2 linked regions of the Saccharomyces cerevisiae S288C genome follow. The protein of the gene in region 1 interacts with the protein of each later gene in a pairwise test. Each region holds a gene or a part of one and is shown in the gene's direction. Other genes may lie near its edges. The genes, in order: PBI1 and PDR17.

Evidence for each region.
Region 2: the proteins of PBI1 (region 1) and PDR17 interact in binary tests that used the Saccharomyces cerevisiae proteins (3 or more experiments, as listed by UniProt).

What each region holds. Positions count from the first base shown.
Region 1 is NC_001148.4:25,683-39,452, reverse strand, and holds PBI1 (Pbi1p), read left to right. Parts: upstream 1-11,288; coding exon 11,289-12,842; downstream 12,843-13,770. Other genes in the region: DIM1 (putative dimethyladenosine transferase), read right to left, coding at 1-332; ACM1 (Acm1p), read right to left, coding at 655-1,284; PLC1 (phosphatidylinositol phospholipase C), read right to left, coding at 1,608-4,217; KAR9 (Kar9p), read right to left, coding at 4,506-6,440; ATP-binding cassette permease MDL2, read right to left, coding at 6,650-8,971; ATP15 (F1F0 ATP synthase subunit epsilon), read right to left, coding at 9,186-9,374; S-adenosylmethionine-homocysteine S-methyltransferase SAM4, read right to left, coding at 13,389-13,770. UniProt on the Saccharomyces cerevisiae protein: Phosphatidic acid-binding protein involved in interorganelle phosphatidylserine (PtdSer) transport.
Region 2 is NC_001146.8:141,357-156,065, reverse strand, and holds PDR17 (phosphatidylinositol transporter), read left to right. Parts: upstream 1-9,450; coding exon 9,451-10,503; downstream 10,504-14,709. Other genes in the region: ORC5 (origin recognition complex subunit 5), read right to left, coding at 1-966; POL2 (DNA polymerase epsilon catalytic subunit), read right to left, coding at 1,186-7,854; protein transporter YIF1, read left to right, coding at 8,226-9,170; IST1 (Ist1p), read left to right, coding at 10,785-10,811, 10,917-11,786; PIK1 (1-phosphatidylinositol 4-kinase), read right to left, coding at 11,988-14,709. UniProt on the Saccharomyces cerevisiae protein: Has phosphatidylinositol transfer activity. Involved in the regulation of the phospholipid composition of plasma- and endomembranes. Altering plasma membrane composition may provide a possible mechanism for multidrug resistance.

The sequences.
Region 1 (13,770 bases):
AGCATGATTTCTAACTTTTTCTCCACAGGTGTGCCACGTACCCTCTTAGTTAATTCTGCAGCCATTCTGGGATCCATTTCTACTGCCACTACGTTTTTTGCTTGTTCGAGGATCCTTACAGTTAGGTTACCTGTACCAGGACCAACCTCCAAAACAACATCTGAGGGTCTAATCTGTGCCTTATCAACAATACCTTGCGCCACCAAAGGATTTTTCAAAATATGCTGACCTAGATCTGTGTTGAATTTAAATACTGAACTCAAATGTTTCTCGGCAGAGACTTGTTTGGACGAAGTTGCTCCGGAGTACTTCTTTTTCGCAGCCTTTCCCATGGTATAATTTTATTTTTATTTGTATCGATATAAAAGGTACGACGTCTAAAGCTTCTAACCGAATGAGTCCACTGTATAATGCACTGTTCCTAATTTATCGATCTTATGTTATAACCAAATATTTTCAATTTTCAGCTCATCGCGATTTTCAAAAATTTTTCTACCCTCTAACCCGGGTAATACACAAGGATGGATTTATTATTATTATTGATTCTTATTATTATTACTACTCTGTTAGTAATTTACACACGAGGTGAGGAATACGTGAATGAATTAAATTGGTATCGTTAATTAATTATTAGACGCTAACTGTGTACATTATTTACTCATCTTCATAGACGTGGAAGGACAGTTTTCTCACTACTTTTTTTTCACTGACGTCATCGGTAGAACGGGATATCTTTGTCTCTGGGTTCTGTCCTTGGTGTTTACTAGTGAAGAAAATAGATATCTTCGAATTTCTTGGCGGCGTTATAAAACTGGGTAGGCTGATTTTTTTATCACCCAGTGGCAACGTCAGTGGTATAGTCTCATCGGTGAGAGGATCCTGTATGTAACCTTTGAATTCGTCAACACTTAAGTCCTTCAATGCAATTCTTCCTCCTTCCCTTAAAAATGCTCTTTCATAAGGGCAAATTTTAGCGGGTGAAAGGTTTTCTTTTACTTGGGAAGGATTATTCTCATTGCTCACAGAATTGTTATTATTGTATATTTCATTATGTCTGTGGACAGCTATGTTTCTTTCTTCAGCCGTTTCCTCATACAGCATAAATTGTGCAGCTTTAGAAATTTGGATTGTCTTTATTGGACTTCGCCTTAGTGCATAGTCTGTGTCTATTTGTGACCTTCTCTTTGATGGTGAACGAAGTTCATTGCCTTTTACCACTGCTCGTGGTTTTTGGTTTATATTCTTGCTTGATAAAATGGTTCTCTTTTTTGATGGTGATATCATCTTTCAGTGTCTCTTACTTTATTTCTTCCAAAGGATCCTAATTCAGTAATGCTTAATATGTTCTCCTTTCTTTTTACTTTATATAGTATGATAACAAAAGCACAAAACTTCAGAAAGAAGACGCGTCAACGCGCTACGCGAAATATGCATCAACTTTCTGCTGAAGAGAAGGCAATCAGCGAAAAACAGAAGTTGTTATTGTGTATTGTCGTGGTACTTCGTCGTCCCATTTGATATATCCATTCTAGGTAATCATGTTGGTATATGCAAGTAGGTATATGTACGTATTTATGAATATGTGTATTTGGCCGGAAAAAGATCGCCTATAAAATTTGTGTATGAATAAATAAAGTGCAAAATATGTATTGTTCCCCCTCCATGTTAAACAACGGAATGTGACGATATCCCATCCTCAAATAGTTCAGCTTAAGGCAAACAGATGCAATCTGGGTCTCTTCAGAGATAACCATGAATTTTATAAATGTGAGGTCTGTATCTTTCAATGTGATAGAAACTTCAGCATCCCATATTGGGTTGAATCCATTCCCTTGAGAACTCTTAGTGGATGCTTCAGTGGCAGAAATCCTTGTACCCTTATCGATTGAGATGGGCATTGTCGGCTCGTCATCGGTATGAAACTCCACTTTAACAAAGGAATTGGTGTTATTTCTGCTTGGCGATGTATCATTCAATCTGGGCAATAACTGTGTAGATAAAATTCGAATTTTAACAGTAACAGGATCACTACCATTTTCAAAATGTTCGTAAATTAATGGAATCATTTTCGCCTTTGTTACTACAGGTAGCAACTTTTTTGGTTTTAGCACGTATCCTGATTTAAAACTTCCATCAGGTTGGTGATCTAATATTTGAAACATTGCCAGATTAAGTTGCTGTCCAATATCATTAGTTTGCCAATTCGTAGCCACCATTTGTACACCGGCCTTCCAAAAAGGTATTGGGTTAAAATTTGATGATTTGTATCGTAAAACGTGAGGATAGACTCTCATCAAATATCTTCTATTATGTTTATCCAACGATAATTTTAAGTGTTTGTCTTTTATCATGTATTCTACTTTGCGCTCATTCAGTGAAAAACAATGCGCTATCGTTTTGGACTCTGGTAAAGAGAAATTCCTGAACTTGATGCCATGTATTCCAGAAATGTTAGAAACATCATTAATTATATCAGCGTGCTTTTTTAATCCAATTCTTTTGATGCGTTGCATACTAGAAGAATTTGTTGCGCTACTACTGTTCGTGGAGTCATCTTTCATTCTTAATTCCTGTTCATTAGCTGATTCGTAAGAAGAACTAAAAGAAGATGGAAATGGCTCATTAACGCTAAGACCTCTAGTTGCTTCACTCGTCTTCTTGGATTTCAACAGTATTTTATGTTTTAATTCCCTTGGTGATGGCAGTTTATCAGTTCTTGTGCCAACAAAGTACAGCTGTTCTGCTAAAACCTCTCTCATTATCAGGCTTGCCAATTTTTGATTATCCTTGTTACAGTTTATTTCCAGTGAAATAATCAAAGGATACGGAGACGTTATAAAAGCGTACTTCTTTATCACGCGTATAACTGTTTTTAAGGGAATAGCTGACGTTAAAAATCCATGGCATACCACTGGCCCATTTTCACCATCCCATATATCAATTTCTACGCACCTACAACCTTGTTGTAGGACTTGAATATATCCCTCCACAGATGGAGTTTCTGCAATTTGTTTCCCCAATAAATAAGTATTATGTGAAGATGCAATAAAATAATGGTTTAATGGCTTTGAATATAACTCCTCTTTAACCTCCACCAAATATGGTTGCTCCTTCAAGAACTTGGTAAAACCATCTTGCCCCATCGTCAGCTGAGTCGGTTCTCTGTACTTAATAAAATATGACCATGCAGTTTGACGATCCACTTGCTCATGCTGCTCTGTAATTAAAAATTGAAAAAAATTTTCAAATGATAAGTGGGAGTGTGGAGGTTTTGTAAATTTAGACCAAATCATATTTACCTCTTTCCTATTCTTTAAGATTTTAATGAACTTTTCAAATTCAAAATAATTTAATAGTCCGTTATGATTGATGTCTGCTAATTGGAAAAACTCTAACAATTGACCAGTTGACACATAAATATGAAATTTATCACATAGTTTCTTCACATCTGCAAAGCTCAATGTGTCCTTTTTCTCATCTTCCTCTTTTTCAGAAACAGTAATTTGCCAATGTATCCTAGCGAATTGCGAATTATCAGGCAAAAGTATGCTTTCCATTAATTCCCTCCTTAACTTCACTAAACCGCAAATGCAGCTTAAGAATGTGTTAAAGTCCAATTCATTCAAAGCAACTACGTGTAACGCTTTCAATTTGTTGGAAACCTTATAAATAATAGCAATCCAAAGTTTACTGTCCGATCTCAATCTTTTCGGATCTACTTCCTCTTGATAAGTACTCGCCGTATCACCGATTCTGATGTCTTTAACGGAGTCTAATTCCAGATACTTCGAACCATCTTTCCATATTATTTGCCCGTTGTTATTGATTAATTTAAATTCATAGAACTTCCTTCTTCTTCTTGTCATCCTAATCATCCTGATTCCTCTTTGCAATACGCGACATAGCGTGCTGAGATCACAGTCTTTTCTTAATTTCTTGTTAACAAGCTCATTTATCCCATGTGAATAAGTAAGAGGCCCCATATGGACTCTAGGCAATTCGGCTGCTCTTCTAAAAATCGACCTTATGCTTCTTCTCACAGTACTTCCATTGTTCGCGCTTTTTTGGTCAGTATTAAAAGAGGATTGAAAAGAACTGTAACTTATAAAATCTAAAGCATCATCCTTTTGTGTTATTTTCCCTTGATCTCTGCATGAGTGTCGTTGTAACTCCTTTGTAAGATTAAACCTTTGGTCATCTATAGCACTTTCAGTCATTCATATACACTGCGTGAATGACCTTACCGTTGTACGTTTATAATTCCCAGTCTTTTATTGTTTTAATGACCTGAGGCTGCTTATGTCGTGATGCTTATACTATTTTTTTTATAAAGCGTCGGGTAAAGGTGTCAAAAACTGTAAAATGAAAACGTGCGGAATCTTCATGGACTATTTAAAATTACACATAATATTACATTATTTAAACTAGTATTACAAATTCTATGAATGGAGAGGGTGAGAGGGAGGATATATAAAAATGTATAAGTATACAGTTTTAGGTTAGTATCAATAAGTTGGGGTTTTATCTAAACGCCCTTCTCTTGGTGAAAGTAACTGTGATAAGGGGGTGGGAGGCCTCAATCGGGTTCTTCTTCTTGTCGAAGGGACCCAAACTTGACTATTAGGTGTCGTGATTTTTGTTGGCGGAGTCTGGAAAACCTTTGCTATCGGTGTGTTTTCTACGGTGACTTTCACCACTTTATCCTTGTATATAGGGATCCTAGAGGGCAAGGACCGGTAATGATTCCATTTATCTTTTTCGATGTCAAGCACAGACTTATTCTTTGCCATCAAAGGAGTTTCTGTAATCTGTACTTTATTTTCATGCCGAGATGTAATGAAGGAGTCTGGTGACTTTTCATTTTCCCCACGAGAAACACGGAGGGTGGTTTCATCGGTTTCGTCATAAGGTAAGGGAGGAACACTACTTAGTATCAGTTTTCCTTTGTTTGGCGACTCCGGATCAAAAAATGGATTAATCGCATTTGATGAATTTGGGCTTGTTGCAGGTTTAATATTCATCTTCTGCAGTAACGCTTTACCAAGCTTTTTACCTTTCAAAGCCACTGTAGTTGAATTTTCCGGTGTTTTATTACTGTCACCTTCATTAATGGCGACTCTCTCCTGGAAATCCTGGGTTATAGTTCCAATAACACTATTCGGTCGCCCAAAGCCTAATGATTTCGGTTTTGGAATCTTCTTCTTGCTAGTAGCTATTTTGTTTGAAGCGGAGGATTTGATTAGAATTTTATCCGCTGTAGGCTTGATATTCAGCCATCTTTGAGCTAATTCATTTGTCTTCGATGCGACGCCAGCGTCCAAAAGTGAGAATTCCAATGCTCTGTAAATAATATTGAATGTCTTAGAAACAGTTTTTGATTTTCTCTCCAATTGCCTCTCGAGCCTTATAGTGATATCTTTGGTATACTTTGTTGTCAGTAATTTCGACTGCAACCTTTCTATCTCATCAAGAATGTATAATAGTTCATGATTTAAATTAATAAAGAGTATATTCCAACGTTTGTCGATTAGTTCGACTTTCAATTCCCTAAACTCTGAATTCATAAATCTATAATCTTTCATTATCAGCTCGTATTTTTTTTGCAAGATTGTTTGCAAAGTAGTTATGTTTGTTATATTCCGGTGCCCAAATTGCACAATTCTTTGAGGTAGGATATCAGTCAAACTTTTTTCAATTGGAGGGATATTTTTTTTTAGGTTCAAGAACTTTCTTGATAAAATATCTTCTGCCGGAGAAAATTTTGGTACCTTTGGCTCAGTTGTCTCCGTATGCGTTCCTAATAACTTGACTAGTTGTTCTAGGGTAAATGATGGAGTATGCCGTATCGGGGACGCGAACCTTTCTTCCTGAATTTCCAGACAATACGATATATTGCTATTAATGATTTTATGTAATGTATCCATATGATCCTTTGAAATTTCGTTAAATTCCAATGACGTATCCAATAATTCCTTCAAGTTAGTAAGCCATGGCTCCAACTGAGTCTTAATTTGTGTAGATTCTTCTATGACGTCAAACATCGGGCTAAATCGATTGTATTTGTCGCTATCCTGATCGTCCTTCGAGAATTCATCCTCTAGTAAATCCAACAAATGAGCAAAACCTTCCTCAATATTATGAACGTCACTAATAAATTGATATAGCATATATTTTTTCAATAATAACCAGTCCATAAACAACAAAATATCGTCTTTTCCCAGTCTTTTCTTGTTGACTAAGTCGGGAATTACCGAGGCAACGTTCTCCAAATCATCATAAAATTGAACTAACAATGTCTCTGATATACTTGTGGTACTCTCATTCAATGAGTTGCAATCGTTTATTGAATGTAATGTATTGTGAATTCTTTCTAAACGTTCACAAAAGTTCTCTTGGAAGTCATCCCCAATGGTCATAGATCTGGGTCCATCATTATCCATGGCAGTGCTACTGAAATCTTTAAGGCTGTTACAGACAAAGATTCGTGCGGCCACATTACACTTTGTTATTGTTTCAATGTTATTTGTTTATGCTACCAAAAGTATCGATTCGGGTAATGAAAATCCTTTTTATTTGGCATTTAACAGTATTATATATAGTATATATTTAAATGTGCGAGATAAGAATGGGTATATGCGATGCGGATGACTCACGGTTGTGGTGTGATCTTAATTGGATTAGCCTCCTTTGCCGCGTCTTTCAGGAGATGTTCGACAGATTTTTCAATATCATCTGAATTATTGTCTTTCGTCTCTGGAGACTGGTTATTGCTGTCGTTATCATGATTATTATCATTATCGTCATTATCGTCCTTTTTCTGGTCATCATGCTCCTTACTCTCATTCAAATCTTCCTTTTCGATGACCTTCTCTATTTGCAGTTGTTGGTCAGATGGCCCAGGAGCCGCTTTCTCATTAAGTAATTGCGATAAAGCACTTGTTGGATTCGCATACAATTCTTTGAATTTGCCCATTTCTACCACTGATCCATCATGGCCAAGGACAATAACATTCTCTGATCTTCTGATCGTACTTAGCCTGTGCGCGATGCTAACAATAGTCATCGATTTTGATTTCATTAGTTGACCAAACGTATAGTTAATGGCTCCTTCACTTTCAACATCTAAAGCTGATGTAGCTTCATCAAGAATCAAAATAGTTGGCTTTTTGATTAGAGCCCTTGCAATCGCAATACGCTGCTTTTGTCCTCCACTTAGTAAGGTGCCGTGAGGACCAATTACCGTATCGTATGTGTTCGGAAATTTTGTGATAAAGTTATGGCAAAAGCACTGCTTTGCTACTGACCTGATTTCTTCCTTTGTTGGGGTATATGTCAACCCATAAGTGATATTATCCCTAATAGTACCTGACATCAGTACCGGCTCTTGCTGAACGATACCAATATGCCTTCTTAGGGATTTACAATTCAATTTAGAGATATCTTGGTTATCTATCGTAATAGTCCCAGTAGTGGGATTATAATATCTTAGCAGTAAGAGTGCAATTGTAGATTTACCACGACCTGAAGGGCCCACAATACAAACACTCGATCCTGGCGCAATTTTAAAATTTAAATTCTTGAATATTTGAACAGAAGGCCTTGTAGGGTAGCTAAATGAAACATCTTTAAATTCGATAACACCACGATCTGGTTTATACTTGTGTCCCACAGTCGGTGAAATGGAAGGTTTCCTATCTGTTAATTCAAACAACCTGGAAGCGGCCCCAGCACCCTGCATAATTTCCGAATAGAAGGTAGAAAGGCCGAATACCGCATTCCCCGTATATTCTGTGTACAGCATAAATGCAGTCAGATCACCAATGGAGAGCTGTGATTGTAAAACAAGATAGGAGCCATACGCAAGGACGGTTAAAAAACTTAGGTCACCTAAGAGACTAGTTGTAGTAAAAAACTTTGCGTTTGTAAATGCCGCAGTTTTTCCCACCTGAAAAATATCTCTAATTGCAACGTTATACCTAGACAATTCATTACCTTCAGCAACAAACGACTGAACCGTCTTGATACCAGAGAGTTGTTCTTCAGCGACTCTAGTCAATTGACCAGTAGCTTCTTGAAGGTCTTTAGAGGTGTTTCTAATTTGCTTCCCGAACACTGAGGCACTAAAAAGAACAGGTGGAGTGAAGAATAGTAACAATATTGATAGTTGAGGTGACAAAGAACACATCATCCCCACGCCAACAACCCCACAAATTAGGGCTTTGACCCCATCCGAGACCTTCTGGGTCATTGATCTTGAAACAACATAAGCATCAGATCCTAAACGAGAAATTAAATCCCCAACTTTATGGTTGTCGAAGAATTCTGCGTCTTGATGAAGCGTTTTTTTAATGACATTTGCCCTTAGGCGTGCAACAACACGCTCACTTAGTATCCTCAATAATATAAATCTACCAAAATTAGCAGCACAACCAATCAGTAAAGCAACAGTAAAAAAGGAAAGAAACTCATATAAAGGCAAAGAAAAAATCGGTATCTTCAAATCAAAAAAATCTGATCCAGATGACGTCTTAAGTGTGTCAAGGACAATACCTATGACTTTAGGAATAGACATGCCTATGGAACATGATATGGTTAAAAGAAGTATGGCTGTAAGAAGCAGTTTCCAATCCCGTTTCGCCAACATAAATAACCTTATTATATCTTTATAGTCATCAGTTTTAGATTGCTCCTTTGCATGTGCCGACCTTGCTGATCCTTTAGATATGGGAGAGGCTGAAGGCAGAGAAGTTTCTGGAACTGTTTTGGATGAATTACATCTAAAACTTTGTAAAATTAGTGATTTTCCAACTGCAGGTGACCTTAAACACAACCGACTGAGAGGAATGAGCTGCGATGAAGAAGGGGTGACCAAAGACCGAAACCTTATAGATGGCAGTTTAGCCAGTCGGGGACGGGACAGCATGTTTCTGCATATGCCCAGCCGCAAAAGTGGTAAACGACCATTCAACATTGCGATTGGCGATGATGGGACATATATTTCTTTTTCTTTTAATGCAATGATACAAACTTTATACCACTCTTCGAAGCGGCCAGTATTCAATATCATTGTAGTCATTATTAGTTTCCCGTATAAAAGTACGTAAGTTTTCATACACAGTTGCTAGAATATTTAAAATGTATATCAGCGAGTAAAAAAAGAGCTGCAGTTCCCAGGAAGCGTTAAACTATTTTGTTATTGGAGTGGGTTCAGAAGCTGCAGTGCCATTTTTATATTGGGTATAAAAAGCATCTGTTTGCGATCTGTTAAGAACACTAGCGGTTTGTAATTCAGTTTTCAATGAAGAACGGATAGCCTGAGCGGCCACATTCAAATATGCAGCATATGATATACCAGCTTTCCTCCAGGCAGACATTTTATGAATCGGTTGTGGGCTGAAACTGTTGATGTTTCTTAGAAATACATATCTTGCTAAGTACTCAATAGAAAGGCCTACTTGTATCTCTTCATTTAACTAGACGAAAAAGGGGAGGATCAAATTTCATTGGTTCGTATAAAAGTATTAAAAAATAAGCGCGTTGCCAGACTTAGTGTGAGATAGTAAGCTAGTAAATCATCTGCTATTACCTAGTTTAGCGTATTTCCTAATAAGGATTACCAATTCCTCAAGTTCATGGCTTGGTAAGATACAGCTATAGCTTTCTTAGTTTTTTTCTTCGAGAGAACTAGTACAATGCTTCTATAGAAGTTAAGAAGTTTACCTTTTCGAAGAACAAATATATTGTTGCTTTGCTTACTCCGAGGTTATCGACTATTTTTGGCAATCCGTTTGAACCTGGATAAATACGTAAATCAGACTTTCTTTAGCCGGATCAACTCTTTTTTTTTTGTAAGCACTCTGACTTGTCGCTGCTGTGTCTGCCAATAATTCAATAATTCATAGTATTTCATACCATATGCTTTATTTAGTGTCCCACTGATGTGAGTTGAAGAATTGTATTCAGATAGGCATATCTTAAGGTCCAACTATTGCCACCGTCGTAGTGCGGAAAGGTTGATTATCGAGCGAATTAGAGGAATAAATGCTGCTATGCGCACGATGAGCAAATCGGAAGTAAACCACGCCGCTGATCCACCTGAACAAAAGAATCTCGCGGAGTTACGATTTAATGTAGGTTTGCTCAGATTACGTTACTGATACTTTACTTTGGACAAAAGTTCTCATACAAACTGTGGAAACAACACCGCTTAAACCAACGATTATGAAATGACATGGTCTAAAGTAATATAATCTATATTAGAATGTGCAGATGGCTATGGTATCCATGCGATGGCAAACCTCCGCAATGATTGGCGTTCTAGCGGCTATCCGAATTCACAATCGACAAGAAGTACTTCTAACTTACACAAGGCAACGAAATAATATCACTCTATGAAACTGCCATTTGGGTAATAGGAGTATATTGAACGACACCGGGTCAACAAGCAACTTTCCTAAGCCTTTTACACTTCTTCACATCATTCAAGATCGCCTTTTAACGAGCTACAAACCTTCACGTTCGTTCTTCTATGGAAACGTTTAAGATAACGTTAAAACGTTCTCAATCACAGAATTTAAGATGATTAGAAATGTTTTCCAAGGGATAGGGCGAAGCACAACCTCGAAAAATGGCAAAATTTTAGAATCTTAGCCACCTTAACGTCTACTTAGAGCCTTAGAAAAGCCATCAAGATTGGTGGAATAGTTGTTGAGGGAACTTAGCCGCCACATTCTCGTAGCCAAATAAAGCGAATCTGACCATTGTATGTTTCTTTTTCACTGGTATGATAGCCCAATGTGTTTAAGGAAAGTTAGGACAACACACCCGAAGAAGGACGTCACCCCTGCATTCCCAAACGAGCTATGAAATAGCTCTTTCCTCTACAAGTAATAACAACAACTTTTTTGTCTGTTTTCCGACCGTTTAACTTCAGAGATTAATTTTTTCAACGCGCTTTCGTTGAACGTCGCAAATTCGTTTAGAATAAACGAAAGGTGACAGAAATAGAAGATTATAGCCATGCATACGCACATAAATTGAAAACTGTTTCGAGGCTGAGTATTCCCTGCGTCTGCAGCCATCAGGGGTATGACTCTGCTACACGTTTACTATATTCTTGGCTAAACGATTCATTAACGAAGCGATGAGTAGATCACACTCGGCATACGAGCACAAATTTGTATGGGGGGACGGTCATATATAAAAGGGTGTATACGTTATCCTTGTTATACCTGTCCAAAGAAGTGCATTTGTAACTCACAACACAGACACATCCTCACTTTATCATAATGACTACGTTTAGGCCACTATCAAGTTTTGAAAAAAAAATTCTCACTCAATCTTTGAATGACCAAAGAAATGGAACTATTTTTTCGAGTACATATTCAAAATCTTTAAGTAGAGAAAATGACGCTGACTGGCATTCTGATGAAGTCACGCTCGGAACAAATTCTTCCAAAGATGATTCTCGTCTGACTCTGCCCCTAATAGCAACAACTTTGAAGAGATTGATTAAATCGCAACCGGCATTGTTTGCAACTGTAAACGAAGAATGGGAATTCGAGCCATTGAAGCAGCTGAAAACTTCCGATATTGTTAATGTGATTGAGTTTGAAACCATAAAAGATAAGGAGGTCAATTGCCATTGGGGTGTTCCACCTCCTTATCTCTTGCGTCATGCCTTCAACAAGACTAGATTTGTTCCCGGATCAAATAAACCTTTATGGACACTATATGTAATTGACGAAGCGCTATTGGTTTTTCATGGTCACGACGTATTGTTTGATATATTTTCAGCAGCTAACTTTCACAAATTATTTTTAAAAGAGTTAAACGAAATCAGCACAGTAACACACTCTGAAGATAGGATTTTGTTTGATGTCAATGACATCAATCTCTCAGAATTAAAATTTCCCAAATCGATATATGATAGCGCAAAATTACACCTGCCCGCTATGACACCACAAATCTTCCACAAGCAAACTCAGTCATTTTTCAAATCAATATACTATAACACTTTAAAAAGACCTTTCGGCTATTTAACCAATCAAACTTCCCTCAGCTCGTCAGTATCTGCAACACAGCTGAAAAAGTATAATGATATTCTAAATGCGCACACCTCATTATGCGGGACAACAGTATTTGGGATAGTAAACAACCAAAGGTTTAACTATTTAAAGTCAATCGTTAATCAAGAGCATATATGTCTAAGAAGTTTCATCTGTGGTATTGCAATGATATGTTTAAAACCTCTCGTTAAGGATTTCAGCGGTACAATAGTATTTACTATTCCCATAAATTTAAGAAACCACTTAGGCTTAGGTGGGTCATTGGGTCTCTTCTTCAAAGAACTAAGGGTCGAATGTCCACTTTCTCTAATTGATGACGAACTTTCCGCCAACGAATTTTTGACCAACAGTAACGATAACGAGGATAATGATGATGAGTTTAATGAAAGATTGATGGAATATCAATTTAATAAAGTTACAAAGCACGTTAGCGGTTTTATTATGGCAAAACTGAGGAGTTGGGAAAAGAATGGGTTTAATGATGACGATATAAGGAGGATGAAGTATGACAATGACGACGATTTCCATATCCAAAATTCAAGGACAAAATTGATTCAAATCAATGATGTTTCCGACATATCGTTATCGATGAACGGCGATGACAAATCTTTCAAAATTGTAAGTACGGGATTTACAAGTTCGATAAATCGCCCCACATTAATGTCTCTTTCCTATACATACTGTGAAGAGATGGGCCTGAATATCTGTATTCACTACCCTGATTCGTATAATTTAGAATCTTTTGTAGAATGCTTCGAATCCTTTATTGAATAGGCAGGTGACGCATTAAATATATGTCTGTATAGTACGTATTTTTTCCATTTTATTTATTCTTATCAAAATTTAATCAACATATATGCTAAAGAAACTATTGATAGGAGATATGACAGGAAATTGCACTGTTTCTGGAACTTTGGCATGCCGAGGCCGTCATTTCCAGTATAACTGAGCAAAAAGAAGTGACGGTAAATACAGCAAGCTGCGGCATTCAGGGGACATATCTTTACGAAATAGTCTGGCCTATGTGGATTTAGTAGACAGAAAAAGGGATCTCGACAGGTTCGTGTGGCTACACCTTTTCATCCATCGTGTATGCCTAAATTCTGCTGTGCTAAACTGCTAGTTTATTAATTCTCGCCCGATTATAATAGACATTTTATTTACTCTGTTTTTTTGTCGGCCAAGTACGGAAAGTCATGGTCGCTTTGAAAAGCATTGTATTAACATACTTTCTATTGTTTATAAAATGTATTTAGTGTAACATGCTGCTTTTAGCATATATATAATGTTAAGAATTATTTAACTTCTTTAAAAACGCATTTACGTGTATTTCTTGACGGCTGCAGAAATCTCTTGGATGTCTTTTGGACTTGTTCTGCAACAACCACCAATGATACGGGCACCGCTGCTAATGTACTGTTTAACAACCGTATCCCAACTGTTCAGCTTATCGCTATTTGGCAACCATATCTTCTTTTCAGTATCATAAACTTCACCACTGTTTGGATAAGCAAGCAAGGCCATATTTGGTAGTGCTTGATGTAGAGACTCAAGAATGTCGGGTGATTGGTTGAAGCTGACGCAGTTGATTCCTAAGAACGAGAAGTTAGGATTTATTTTGTCGCCCAAGTCCTTAATAACTTGTGCGATTTCTTCCATGGTAGTGCCGTCTCTCAAGACACCGTGCTCATGCACAGACAAC
Region 2 (14,709 bases), on another chromosome or scaffold:
GTAAGTTTGACTGTTCTCAAGGTCATCACGATTTGTGGTTATCGCGCTTTCACCTTGTCCATTTTCACTTAAATTATCATCTGTGCTTAAAAATAGTTTGATGGCACTTTTGTAAAGAGCCAGTGGTTCAAATATGTTTTCCTTAGTAATGCGAGATACATACTTGGGCCATTTGAAGTCTATCAAGTCATTCAATGCGAATATGTCGTTTCCAGTATAAGAATGAAAAGCCTGCACAATTAAGTGAATGAAGTTCGCAGCTACATTTTGAAATTGATCGTCTGTACAGTCCGTTATCTGCTCTTCAATGATACGCTTACGTAGACAAGAATCTTCCATGAGTTCGCCACATCTAGACATCACTAATATAGTAGAAACTTCGTCCACATTATACCTCGGAAACATAACAGTTGGAATGCAATGTGTAGAATATCTTTGCAAAAATGATGTCTCTAACATCGTGTAAATGAATTTTATATTAATTTTAGAATCTTTTGGAAGTAATTCATTTAGTTTGATATATTTGTTAAACAGTGCGGCGTCTAAATCTTGTAAACTATCGAAACCATCCAATATCAAGAACAAGCAAGTCTTTTCTTGCAAAGATTCATATTGGACAAAAATATTGTGCAACGTCTTTACCAAAAGAAATGGCTCTTCAACCTGTAAAGGATCGTAATCTGTGGTGGGAATGTTTGGATATAGGGTTTTCAATTTATATTGTACAGTACGTGCTATCGCCTGCAGTAAGGGCTTCCAAGAAACCAACTCAACAGGTTCCAGCCATACTGCATGCAAATTTGGATTCGCATTAAAATACTTCTTCAAAGTGTAGGTTTTTCCTGTTCCACTATAACCTTGCAAGATTAAATTTGAAGGAGTTATGTCTGGATCAGCAGAAATATACGATGCGAGACAGTTGGTTTGATATTCCCTAAAAGCAACTTCCGGAGTGGTCACATTCATTTTATTTCCAAAAGTATTAAGAAGAAAATAAAAGAAAAGTACTTGTGATTTAAATATCAAAGAAGAGTGTTAATTATGTTCAAGGGCTAATTTTTCGGTTATTTATATTTATATGTTCAGAAACGAATTGAAAATACTCTTTTTCCTTACCTTTTTTTTTTTTTTTTTTTTTTTTTCATGGTAAAGAGGCCATTGAACCTCGCGTTATATACTGCTTACTCATATGGTCAAATCAGCAATACAACTCAATAATATATCAAAACCGTAATACTTGGCTACTTGCTTAAACACATTTAACTTTTGAACAATGCTTTCTCTGGGGAGAGTTCCTTCCCACGCGCCGGCACATGGACAGTGGGCACTCATATAGTCACGTTTCACTTTATGACATCTGGAGCATCTCAAATCTTGAATTAAATAGGATTCGATATCAGAACGTAGTTTTTGAATCAGGTGTTCTTGCAACAATACTTGATTAAAGGCTTTGTGACATCTGACGCATGAAAAAATAGATTCAGGAGCTGCCTTACAAAAGTCAATATCAGAAATGAAAAAACAGTATTCACATAAAAAATCCGGCACCACGAGACTCAAACTTGGATCTTTGAATTCCGCTACTTTAGCAAACTCACGCAATTCAAATATCTTCAGCAGTTCTTTTCTCAGGGTCCTGATTTCTAAAATTGTACTCTTTGAAAGTAACATGACATGGCAGAGTGATTTGACAAGTTCTAGAAGGGGATTTTTCACATTCAGATGGGAACCAGGAAGAACAGGAATAACATAGTCTGCCTCATACTGAGGATCTAAAATGAACTCTTGCTGGTTTTTAAAAAGCTTTTTGACTCTTTTCATTAGTGGTTTGGAAAAAAGGTGAGAAAATCCGTTCAACGAGTTTTCAACACTATCTTCCTTATCTTGTTTTTTTACATTAACTATTTGGGTAGGTCTTTGCGTCCCTGAATTCAATTTTAGATAGCTCTGCTTTGTCTTTAGCATACTATCCAATATGATCATCATCCAATCCTCAAATTCGGGCTGATATATTGGTGACAGAAACTTCTTTAGTTGCCATTGCGAAACAGCGGTATAATCCTGATTTTCCTTTTCCTCTATTTCAATACATGCTAATCCACTAAAATTAAACTTATCCATCCATATTAGCAGATCCCAATAACGTTTGATATTTAAGTCCAGATAACTAAACATTGGATTTGTTCTAACTGCCTTCATCATATATTGGCTGTAGGCGTAACAGTTTTCAGGTGAGTACTTGTTTGTCTTTATTAGAATTTGATTCCTGTCTGCATATACAATAGTTGAGCCAAGTGCACTAAATTCATTTACTAATTGAAGTAAGGCTTTTTTTGTTAAGTTATGAACGTGATATCTTAGTAATCCGTCGAATAGTTTCGCATTCGGGTTTTGAACCCAACTTGCCAGGGAATTTACCAACAAATCTGCGGTTGAATTTTCTTTTAGGGCCTCATCCCACCACTCCTTTAACATACCTCTTAAAACATTCAAAGCGTCATTAGAAAAGGCGTCGTGCACGAATTCAGATGGCGAGTTAATAACGGCATCTTTGTCATCTATACCCATATTATTGTTAACTAGATCACTGCCTTCAGCATCATTGATTAATGCTGATGTCAAAATTGTGTTCACTGTTAAATTATCAACACCAACATCGAGAACTACATTGTCATACACACCTGAGTTATTAATTTTGGGAAATTCTGAATCATTCATTATCCATGATGTATTTAAATCAAAATCATTTTGAATGCCTCCATGATCTGGAAGTGGAGCTTTCTCATTCCACCAAAGCACGATGTTCTCTTTTTTTAGTTTTCTTGCATAAAGAACATCAATAATATAATCCATACTATCCAGCCTCAAATTACAGATTGGAATGTTACTATACTGGGATAACTTGATCAAGTGAGAAATCCACGAACCACTGGATAAAACGTGGTTAACAAGTTTCTTCAATAATGTCGGTTGCCAGTTCAATTGGGGTAGAAGAACTTCATTCAAGGAAAGCTTAACAATGGGCATCTGGTTTAGAAGCCGGATTGTGCCTAAGAGCTTAGTGATAAACGGAGATTGTAACAAGAGTAAAAACTGCAGACCTCTTTCTTCTTTTAATTTAGTAGTTTCCTGTGATAGTCTTCTGTACAATTTTGAGATATCTGTAAAATATACAAACTCAAAATTGATATCTTCTTTAATATCAACCAAGTAAGAATATGTTTCTATTTTACCTTTCTTTTTTTCAAACATTTGTTTGTATATTTGTCCTAATGATGAGGCATTTATTTCCTGAGCCTGGTTGGATGGTTTCAAAACTAATATAGTAATAGTATCTCCCCATGACTTGAATAATGAAAAAAATTCATACCCAATTGATGTTGGGAAATGTAGTAAATAGCCAATGTCCATTGAAAATCCACTCAGATACCTTTCATTTTCCGCCATTGAAAGATCCTTCATTTCAAAACCCTGCTGTATTCCCTTGCCTAACGCACCCATTGCTTTTGAGCGGAACGTTACCGAAGCTCCCAAATCCATGATCGCTCTTTGATGAGGAGTGATAGTGCCCTCAAATACACCAAGTACATTTTCATCGTTGAAGATACTAGTGCAGTTTTCCTTTTCTTCCAGAAAGACAGATTCCGGTAGAGTAATTTTGAATAGCTGACCGCCTGCTGGATTAGACGTTTTGGGATTATTTGGTAACGATGCAGAAGATTTTTCAATAAGGCAATTCTTAATCTTTTGTAGCGGCATTGTTTGAGATTTGAATTTCATATAAATAGTTTTTGGTATATGGAAGGTGATGTTCTGGACTTTGCCATTAATTGTTACAAATACTTCCAAAACCCCTGGCTCACCGGAATCCTTGTATTGTAAGACCTCCCAAGTGGAGTTCGCATATGATTCAGCTTGCTTCCTAATCATACTTCCTAGTGCACTTCTTTCACGGGAGCTGTTTGTATTACCAAATAATTGGTCTCGACGCTTTCTATCTCTTGCTTGGATTTTCCATTTAATTTTTTGATAATTTAGCCACCCAACATAGTCCTCGTCCATGGAAGGAATCTCCGAGGGCAATACTAGTGGATCTTCTTCATTTGTAAGCTGATTTCTTTTCCTCTTGGATACGGCTTTCTTTTTAGTAGTTCTTGCAATTTTAATTTTGGCGTTATCTTCTTCTACAGTTGGTTCAAACAAATCCTCGATATCTTTTATCTTGCCCATTGTTGGTACATTCTTTGTCTTCGAAAAAAATTTGGTTAGTGAAGTCTGCTTAAACTTATCCTCCTTTGTAGCGATTTTTCTTTTTAGCCAATCTGGATGTTCAACCCTTGGAACAGGATTGGAAACCCCTTGTAATGCTGCTGGAATAGTAATTATCTTTTGTATAGCAGATCCAAGTCTTTCTCTATAATAACCCCAATCGATTATGGTTCTGATATCCAGATCTTCCAAAGATGGATCTAATGTCCATCGCCTCAGAAAAGACCTTTTGATGGGAATGTCCGCTGAAAATATTGCGACTGGAATGGCTCGTTCAGTAACAGGTGCATTGAAAGGTTTTGAACTAATAATATATTTACATTGTAGACCTTTATCTTTTACCATATCTTCACCCAAAAAATCCCCCAATCTCCTTGCCGTCGTAATAGAAGTAGATTTTTGCCCTTCATATTCCTTTAAAGTTTTTGACATACTTCTATTTTCACAAATCAAACTGACCAAGTCTTCATCTTCTAACATAAGACCATGTGAATCAAGAACATCTAACCAACGGTTACATACGCTTGCTACAGCACTGTAACATCCTTCTAATGTATCACCTTCCAAAAAGACCTTGAAAATATCACTTTGAAAATTTTTTATTAGTTGTAATTCACCACGCCTCTTCAATTCAAAACCTTTCAGTTCAGCAAGTGAGCCGTCTTCATTGAAGACAGCATATCTTTTCTTTATACCTTTTCCTTCTTCCTTGGAACTAGGCAAAATCATGGCCTTATATGGTCCGTCAACTTCGAAAAAAATCGTGTTTTCACTGTGCGTCTCATATATATAGTTCAATGGGTCTTTTAATTCTTGGTATTGGTGATTCGTAAACTTTTGGTGAACTCTGTAATTCAGCATGGAACATGGGTAGGAGAGATAAAGCTTTTTACCATTTTCTAATGTAAAAAAGTAAGTTTCAGGGAAAGATTTTGGTAAGATACACCAAATACCATCAGTATCTAATTCTAATGGTCTTCCTACCCTTTCTACTAAAGCTCTCGCCATTTGAATGATCGTGGCACCTGTTAAACACGTAATCCCCGCCATTTCCATGGAATACCAACGAGAGCCTTTCCTCATAACATACCCATAAAACGAATTCAAAATAACTTTGTGAGCTAATTGTAATGAGTCATAAAGCACAATCATCTTTTTGGCCTCGTCTCTCGCATGCTTATCAGATGGGTCAATTTTGGACAGATTTCCCTTCCAAGTCTTGGCTAAACCTTTGAATTCGTAACGCCTATCACGAAAGGATTTCACGGTATCGACGTAGAATGGATTTTCTCTTTGGCAGACAATGGCTTCTCGTTCGACAATTTCTGATACTTTAACCCTATGATAAACTTTCCTTGAATATTCAGTTAAACGTTTTTTTATGTGGATAACTTGGTCTGCGTAACTTAGTTCATCAAATGTCAAAACTTTCTTTTTAGAAAACTTGTTTTTGTTGGGAAAAGTCTCATTTTGTAATGCACGCTTGATCATGTTATACTCATCCATCTTACTGGGAAAGAATTCTCCTCTCCAAGCCCATTTTAACTTTCTTGCACAGGTTTTTCCGGGTCTATTAAAATCGCAACTAGCACAATCGCGCTCTGCTTTGATACTATCTGGTTGTAGTCTATTTGTAGTCATGATGTTTGGGTACATAGAGGCGACATCTACATGATAGATCAAAGGTAGTTCGTTTCTTATATTGTTTTCCTTCAACTCTAATAATTTCTGCGTTATCTGGTTTTTTATTTCCTCAAAATTCGTTACTTTATCTACACTGGACTTATTTTCAACTTCCACACTAAATTTCAAAGCTTCTGGTAATTCTTGTAATAATTCATCAATGGCAGAAGGATCTATCTTGAATTCATTCTTCAAATCACTCCTAAAAACACCAGCTTCTAATGACTCCACATGTCCACCCACGTAAGTCTCGGATTCTAGAAGATGTCCATCATAGAACCTCTCAATGGGATCTGTATGCTTATTTGGTAGAAGAATATTATGTTGATAAGCTTGAACCATCAACAACATTTCACACAAAGTACCGGTACCCTTTCTCAATGTTTCATCCGGGTTCAAAGGAATAATAGTACAAAGGGAAAAGATAAAAGGATGAACATATTTCATGTAAAGGTAATACGTAGCGACTGCATCGGAAACAGAATATTCGGAAAGGTGCTGTGGCTTTTCAAATGCATACGGCGTCATTAATTCGGGATCCAGTTCAATTGGGTTATAACCTAGCTTAGATTGAGTAACAGCTTTTAAACCCTGGGAACCTTGTGGTAAATAAGAATCACGCTTCACCCAACGGAAACAATCCATGTGAGAGCAGTATGAGGACTTGTACTCACCTTCAGCATCTGGAGCGAAACCAATTTCATCGAACATGTCCAAGCCGTGAATCTTACTTCTGTTATGTATAAAAGGCCAATCGAAAAAGTCACCATTGAAGGTGGATATAACAGTGGGTCGTACATCTCTTATATGTTCAAAAAACCTTTGTAGAAGCGCCACTTCATCGTTTTCGTTAAATATGGTGAAAAAACCAGGATACTCCGGTTTCGGTGTATACTCAAAGTCTTCAATATCCTCAGAGATTATCTCCCTATTTGTTATCAAAAAACCTTCCCCATCGATCATATACGAAATCATCATTATTTGATCTACGGCGGAATCCGGGAATTTTAAAGGCGGCTTCGTGGTTTCTATATCAAATGCCATTACCACAGGGTCGGCAAATGCAATTTTCCTAGTATCTTCAATGAATCCCTGTTGAGTTACCTTATACCATTTACCGACTCTAATGTCCTTGTCTATAGATACTCGGACATGATACGGCACATCATATTCCCTGATATCTTCGATCAGATGTTTGGCGTCAACTTTTTCCGAGCCATTTGCAGCAACGTTATATATATTTCTTTGCACATTATTATTGGCATTATCCTGCAAGATTGGCCTCAGGAGTTTCCTGGCCTCGAATAACTGATTGGAATTTACAAATGATAACTTAATAAGTGTCTTCTGCAGCCCTAAAAGGTGATTGTCCATGGTAAGATCTTCCTTTCTAATGATTTGTAAGCTTTTGAGACAAGATTCCAGATATTTTTTCACTAGTTCCTCCACATCATTTACTCTTGATTCATCGTTACACGCAATAAAGAAGTATGGGTCATAGACAACTGTCGACTTGAAGCTCCCACCCTCTTCATCTAAAAAGTAGAAGTCAACTCCGGAAATACCTTGGTTGGTCGTTACACGTTCTCCGTCATTCGAATTGCCGCCGCCATTACTACCACTGGATAAGGTTTCCTGAGAGACCAGCGTTGCGTGCATGTTCGTCAGCCACCCTACGCGGCCTGGAATCTGATCTATATCCTTCGCATCAAACCTGCCATTGTATTGCGGCGGTACGTATCTTTCAAATCCCATCATCGAATCGATGTCATCGATCTTACTAGCATTTAAGAGCTGTTGCGCGCTAAGCGCATAATTATTTGAGAGTGTGTTGTACTTGTTGCCAGCTGAATATCTTGCAGTGGAAGATCCTCCGTTGTTTTTTTTCTTGCCAAACATCATATACTTGTCCCCTGAGAGTGTTATCTTGATAGAATGTGCTCTTTCATCATCATATGCTCTTTTTGATAGGTCCTCTTCCAGTTAAAATGGTAAAAGATGCAAGAAACTTACGCGTTCTGGTTACCCTACCTGAAAATAAACCATTCTGACAATTCAAATGACAATAAACTTGGGCCTTTGACGAACACTGACAGTGTTACTATTACTTTTTCTCAGTGCTAAAACAGCATATCCGAGACTCTGTATCAAGATCCATATTGCACACCAGAGCTGTTGTTTTATACTACAACTCATCTTTTTGACTTTTCGATTGTAAGACCTCGCTACTGAGTATCAATAGCAGAAAACGAAAACCAAAGGCCCATACCAAGATGTCTTATAATCCGTACGCATATGCAACAAGTGAGCAGAATGGCGTTAACGATCGCTTTTCCCACACTCCACAACAGCAACGACCAATGCAAATTCCGAGGAACACGCCCGTGAATGGCCAAGGTAATGCGAATATGAATGCAAACGTAAATGGCAGTGGCGGTGGTTTTCCATTCCAAGATCCTCGTGGTTCGATGGCATTCCAACTAGGGCAGAGCGCATTTTCTAATTTTATTGGTCAGGATAACTTTAACCAGTTTCAAGAAACGGTCAATAAAGCCACTGCAAACGCTGCCGGCTCTCAACAAATTTCAACGTATTTTCAAGTCAGCACCCGTTATGTCATCAATAAATTGAAACTCATCCTAGTTCCTTTTCTTAACGGAACCAAGAACTGGCAACGAATTATGGACTCTGGCAACTTTTTGCCACCAAGGGATGACGTGAACTCCCCAGACATGTACATGCCTATTATGGGACTAGTTACCTATATTCTCATCTGGAATACGCAGCAAGGTCTGAAGGGTTCATTCAACCCCGAAGACTTGTACTACAAACTGTCTTCTACTCTGGCGTTTGTGTGTTTAGATTTGTTGATTTTGAAGCTTGGCTTGTATCTTTTGATCGATTCTAAGATTCCAAGCTTCAGTTTGGTCGAACTGTTGTGCTATGTCGGCTACAAATTTGTTCCATTGATTCTCGCCCAGCTTTTGACCAACGTGACCATGCCATTTAACCTGAATATTTTGATAAAATTTTACTTATTTATTGCCTTTGGCGTATTCCTACTAAGATCCGTCAAGTTCAATTTACTAAGCCGCTCCGGTGCTGAAGACGATGATATACACGTTTCCATCAGCAAATCGACCGTCAAGAAGTGCAATTACTTCCTATTCGTCTATGGCTTCATTTGGCAAAATGTTCTAATGTGGTTAATGGGTTGATCTTGATTGAAGAGATCAAAGAGAGGATTTAATTTCATGCGCATTATTATTATCTACGGTCAATTTGTTAAATACTTATATACTTTTATTCCTACGTCATAAATTTTCTATTTACTTTTCTTATTTTTCCTTTCACTCAATATGGAGTGGAAAGAGAACAATAGAGGGATTAAAATTCGTGGGAAAAATCACGCTTTTTAGATAGATTTAATTTACATCATTGTTTAAAAAAAAAGACCCTGAAAAATCACACAAAGAAAGCACAAGAAGAAGAACAAAAATGGGTCTTTTTTCAAGAAAACGGGACCATACGCCTGCTGTGCCTAAAGAGAAACTTATTCCATGTGATAAGATATTCTTGGACCCTCCTGCCAAGTATGGTAACGCACCTCTACTGGAACCCATCTCCGAAGATCAAAACGAAAAATATAGAGCTGTCTTACGACATTTTCAAGATGATGATCTGAAATTACCAGAAAATCTCAATGACCTTGACAATGGGACACATGCCAATGACAGACCCTTGAGTGATTGGGAGAAGTTTTGGCTTTCTAGGGAGTGTTTTCTAAGATACCTAAGAGCCAATAAATGGAACACCGCGAACGCCATAAAAGGTCTCACCAAAACCTTGGTATGGAGGAGAGAAATTGGACTTACACATGGTAAGGAGGACAAAGACCCTTTAACAGCTGACAAAGTTGCCGTTGAGAACGAAACTGGTAAACAGGTTATTTTGGGCTTTGACAACGCTAAAAGACCTCTATACTACATGAAAAATGGTCGTCAAAACACAGAATCTTCCTTTAGACAAGTCCAAGAATTAGTCTACATGATGGAAACTGCGACAACTGTAGCTCCCCAAGGTGTAGAAAAGATCACAGTCTTGGTAGATTTCAAAAGTTATAAAGAACCTGGTATTATCACTGATAAAGCTCCACCCATCTCTATTGCTAGGATGTGTTTGAACGTCATGCAAGATCATTACCCTGAAAGGTTAGCTAAGTGTGTCCTGATCAATATCCCATGGTTTGCGTGGGCTTTTTTGAAGATGATGTATCCGTTCCTTGACCCTGCCACTAAGGCGAAGGCTATCTTTGACGAACCATTTGAAAACCACATAGAGCCATCTCAACTAGATGCTCTATACAATGGTCTGTTAGACTTCAAGTATAAACATGAAGTCTATTGGCCAGATATGGTTAAGAAAGTTGACGATTTACGATTGAAACGTTTTGATAGATTTTTAAAGTTTGGAGGCATTGTCGGATTAAGTGAATATGACACCAAGGGCCAACATGACGAATTAAAATATCCTGTTGATATGGTCATTTGATAAACTATAATTAAGATTTTTTTTTTTAACGTTTCCCGCTACACAAACGTATATATCTAGACTCAGATGTACGTTTATAATGGCTGCTTATGCGCTTATCGCATTTTATATACTTTTAGAATCAACTGAATCGGCTATCCGCACTCTATTGTTTTGTTTCATGAAAAAAAAAACGCCTTCTGAATTCCAAAGGGTGTGAAAATTATATATACTATTAGTTCCAGCTAATCAATCAGAACTAGTCAACATAGAAGATAGATAAGAGAATACGACAACTAAAAATGGCTCCGTCAATGATTCCGTTCACTGTATGTTTATATTTTATAGTAATTTTTAAAAAGCTTTAGTATGCAAAAGATCTAGGATGTACTAACTGAAGAAGGGTAAAACTATCATCCAAATTATTGTTATAGATCAAGCTTAAAACATGCCTGAAAATGTGTATTCAAAGGTTAAGATATGCTCAAGAAAAGCAACAGGCGATTGCAAAGCAGTCTCGAAGACAGGTTGCACAACTGTTACTGACAAATAAAGAACAGAAGGCGCATTATCGTGTGGAGACGCTAATTCATGACGATATTCATATTGAGCTACTAGAGATATTGGAACTATATTGTGAATTACTACTGGCTAGAGTGCAGGTAATAAACGATATCTCCACCGAGGAACAGCTTGTCAAAGAGCATATGGATGATGGTATTAACGAAGCTATCAGATCCCTAATCTATGCGATTCTTTTCGTTGATGAAGTCAAAGAACTTAGCCAATTGAAAGATTTGATGGCCTGGAAAATAAACGTTGAGTTTGTTAATGGAGTAATAGCAGATCATATCGATGTCCCTGAAAAGATTATAAAAAAATGCTCTCCCTCAGTTCCAAAAGAAGAACTAGTTGATCTTTATTTGAAGGAAATCGCGAAAACATACGATGTGCCATATAGTAAGCTGGAGAATTCCTTATCTTCGTCGTCTTCTAACATTTCTTCAGACTTTAGTGACCCCTCGGGAGATATCGAGGATAATGACGAAGAAAAGCCTATTTTAGCCTTAGATAATGACGATAATGACAATGCAGATGCTAAACACCCTATCACTGTTAAAAAGCCTAGGCAGAATAGTGAAAATATCAAGAACGAGCTCAAGATTCCGAAAGATATCAAAAAGGAAGTGATCGAAAAGAAACAATCAGAAAAGAAAACTACAAAAAGAAAGACTAAGAAGGAGCAAGAAAATGATGAACTAGATGAGTTGAAGAAACGGTTTGACGCTTTACGCAGAAAATAAGATAATAATTTATATGTATGGTTAATTAACCACATATTTATTTTACTCTCATTCTTTTACCTTGCTTTTTCTGAGTCAGCTGCTCTATTATTCTCGGCAATAAATAAATATATGTATATTCCTTTTACTAAAATTCCAATTTTTTTGTTCTCCGGACATTTGCAAATTGTTTTTCCAGTTCTGTCACAGCTATTTTCCTTCTCAGCTATATATACCCTGTGTAATAAGTTGAAATTGGTCGTATATTCTGGTGTAAATACTACCCAAAGATTTACCTATCAAGAAATTTTCTACGAAGTCATCAACTTCTTTTTCTGATAAGTCCAATTGGAACCTTTGTCGTAGTTGTACACTTGTTTGTTCGCCAGCATCGAAACAAGGCTGCATATTGTCCTTTTGCATAATCTCACACATTGATACGATTTGATCAGCATACTTTCTCAGAGCCTTGAACGAACTTTTAGTTAGTTCAACAAACTTTTTAAACGCTTCTCCCTCTACTCCGCCTAGCAGTTCAATATATTCGTAAGTTAATTTGAATGGTGCGGCCTCAAAGCCCACTGAGCCGGGTGAATTTGATAGCATAAATCCAAAATCGATGTGACTTACATGGCCTTCGTTATCGATCATAATGTTACCGTTGTGTCTATCTTTAACCTGCAAGAGATAGCAAATGACAGAATATGCGGCTAACGAAGAAGCAAAGTTGTCTTGTGCTCTTCTATACTTAAATCCATTAGGATTACCAAAAGCTCTAAGGAAGTGATCATTCAAAGAGGCAATACCACCCTTGTCATCTAGTTCTGCATCTTCAATCATTTTTTTGGTTAAAGCCTTTTTAATACTATGCACAGACATAGCATTTGTGATGGTCTCCACAAGTCCCGTATTCGCACTAGTAATTAAAATTTTCATTCTTTTAACCCAAACGTCAACTTTTTCTTTAACCCAAATATTGGCCATCGCTTGAATCATCTGGTATGCAAACGCCTCCTGTCTCAAATCATCACCCGTCTTGGCGATTACAGAACATAAATCCCAGTTTTCGAAATGGCCATATTCCGAAGTTTTACGTATCCTCTCTTTCTTGGTAGCCCAATCTTCACCTAGATATGAAGTGTCAATACCACCCGTCATTAAATCGTTTTCCAATTTTCTCTCACCTGCCATTCCATGAAGGGCTTCCAAATCATGGTAACCAAATTTATCCTGCACCTCCTTCATTGATGAAATAATTTGAGCGCGGATTTGTTTGGTACTTTCTGATAACTGTTGTGGCGACTTATCCAATTGTGCTAACATAACAGCTGAAACTCTCATCTGGTCTGCTAAAGCGTCAGTTTGGCTATGTATATTTTTGCTATTAATTCCATTCTCGATGAGTACTTCGTCCAAGTTTGAGCCAAAGTTCAACTCTGGGCTTCTGTCTTGACTATCATCAGGTAAAATTGGAACATTTGCGGCACTCTGTATTACTAAAGCATTTCTATACGCTTCGTCATCCGTTCTGTTCCTGACTTTTACCATTGACATATCACCTAAATCTTCCTCTTTATTGACTTCAGTCCTAACATGAGCTGTGGACGCTGAATCACTTCTTGAGGTACTGGATAGACCTTCATTGCGGGAGGCCCCGTTGTTGAACGAGTTACTATCATATACCGAAGATCGAGTGTTGTTGCTAGTAAGAGTACTTTCATTTCTATTTTCGTTGTTTTCTTTTCTATTCATGTAATTTAAATCAAATATCAAGCCTCCCTGATTACCACTGATCTTCTTTAATAATCTTTCATTGGTTTCACTTGTTGGGTCAAAATCAAATTCGTCTCTCAAGTATTCTATCAGGAGTAAATATGGAACTTTTTCTGCAGAGTTCAAAACTTGTGCCTCATTAGCAGTAATGGTCACTAATTTATGTAACTTTCCTTTTTTATTTGGAGGCAATAAAGTGGGGATATCTACTTCCGCTGGTAGGTCCCTGTTTAATAGAAACAACTCGGCTCGTAAGGCACTCAATCTAGCTTCTGTCGGTACTCGAGCTAGCCTTTGAGATATTGTTTCTAGCGCAATGGCAAATTGTGTCTCGCAACGAAAATAATTTGCTTTTAACATTTTTATTTTTGAAGTGGTCGATAATTGCGACAAGTCAATTTCTTGACTCAAAGAAGAATTCGCTTTTTTACTGTTTTTGAATGCCTGGCGCGAAAGGGGTTGGGAATTGGTCCTGTTTAACTTAGGTGTCCCTTCTAAAGAAGCAGATGAAGCAGAAGAAGTCCTTGGTTGAATATTATGCAGATCTGGCATAGAACTGGTGAAGTGATCAGAGTTTAAAGCGTCCGCGTCCTCCTCCGTTTCACCACCAGTTTCATCTTCATTGTTACCAATCTCATTATTTTCATCATTACGTCCCTTTGGAGAAATATAATCACCTTTATTTCCATCGAGAGCCTTTGCGGTATTTGAAATGCTTCCGTCCCTGTTTATATTTTTGCCATCATATGTCCTATGAACGTATGAATTATCCAAATACTTAGGTTTACGTTTTGGGAGTTTGATTGAAGATGAGATTCTTTCTTCAAAGACCTGGTTACCTATATCATCCACAATGTCGAAATCCAATTTTACCTCACTATGTCTGGATTTCCTGAAGGATGCATCTTCTTTAGTTTTTATTGGATCTATTAAATCTATTGGAGAAGTCGGAGTTGAACTGCGATTTGAGCTAACTCTTTTGGATCTGGAAGTTTTCTTGTTTAGTAGGGTATTTTTCAAGGTCATGTTCTTGGTAAAATCTTTCATTGCACTTCTAGCCAACTTAAAAACGAAAGCTTTTTGTCTTCTACCTTGAGATTCCACTAATGGTTTGGTCACTTCGCTTAATTGGGGGAATGCTATAGCCGACATTATCATAGAGGAAAGAACT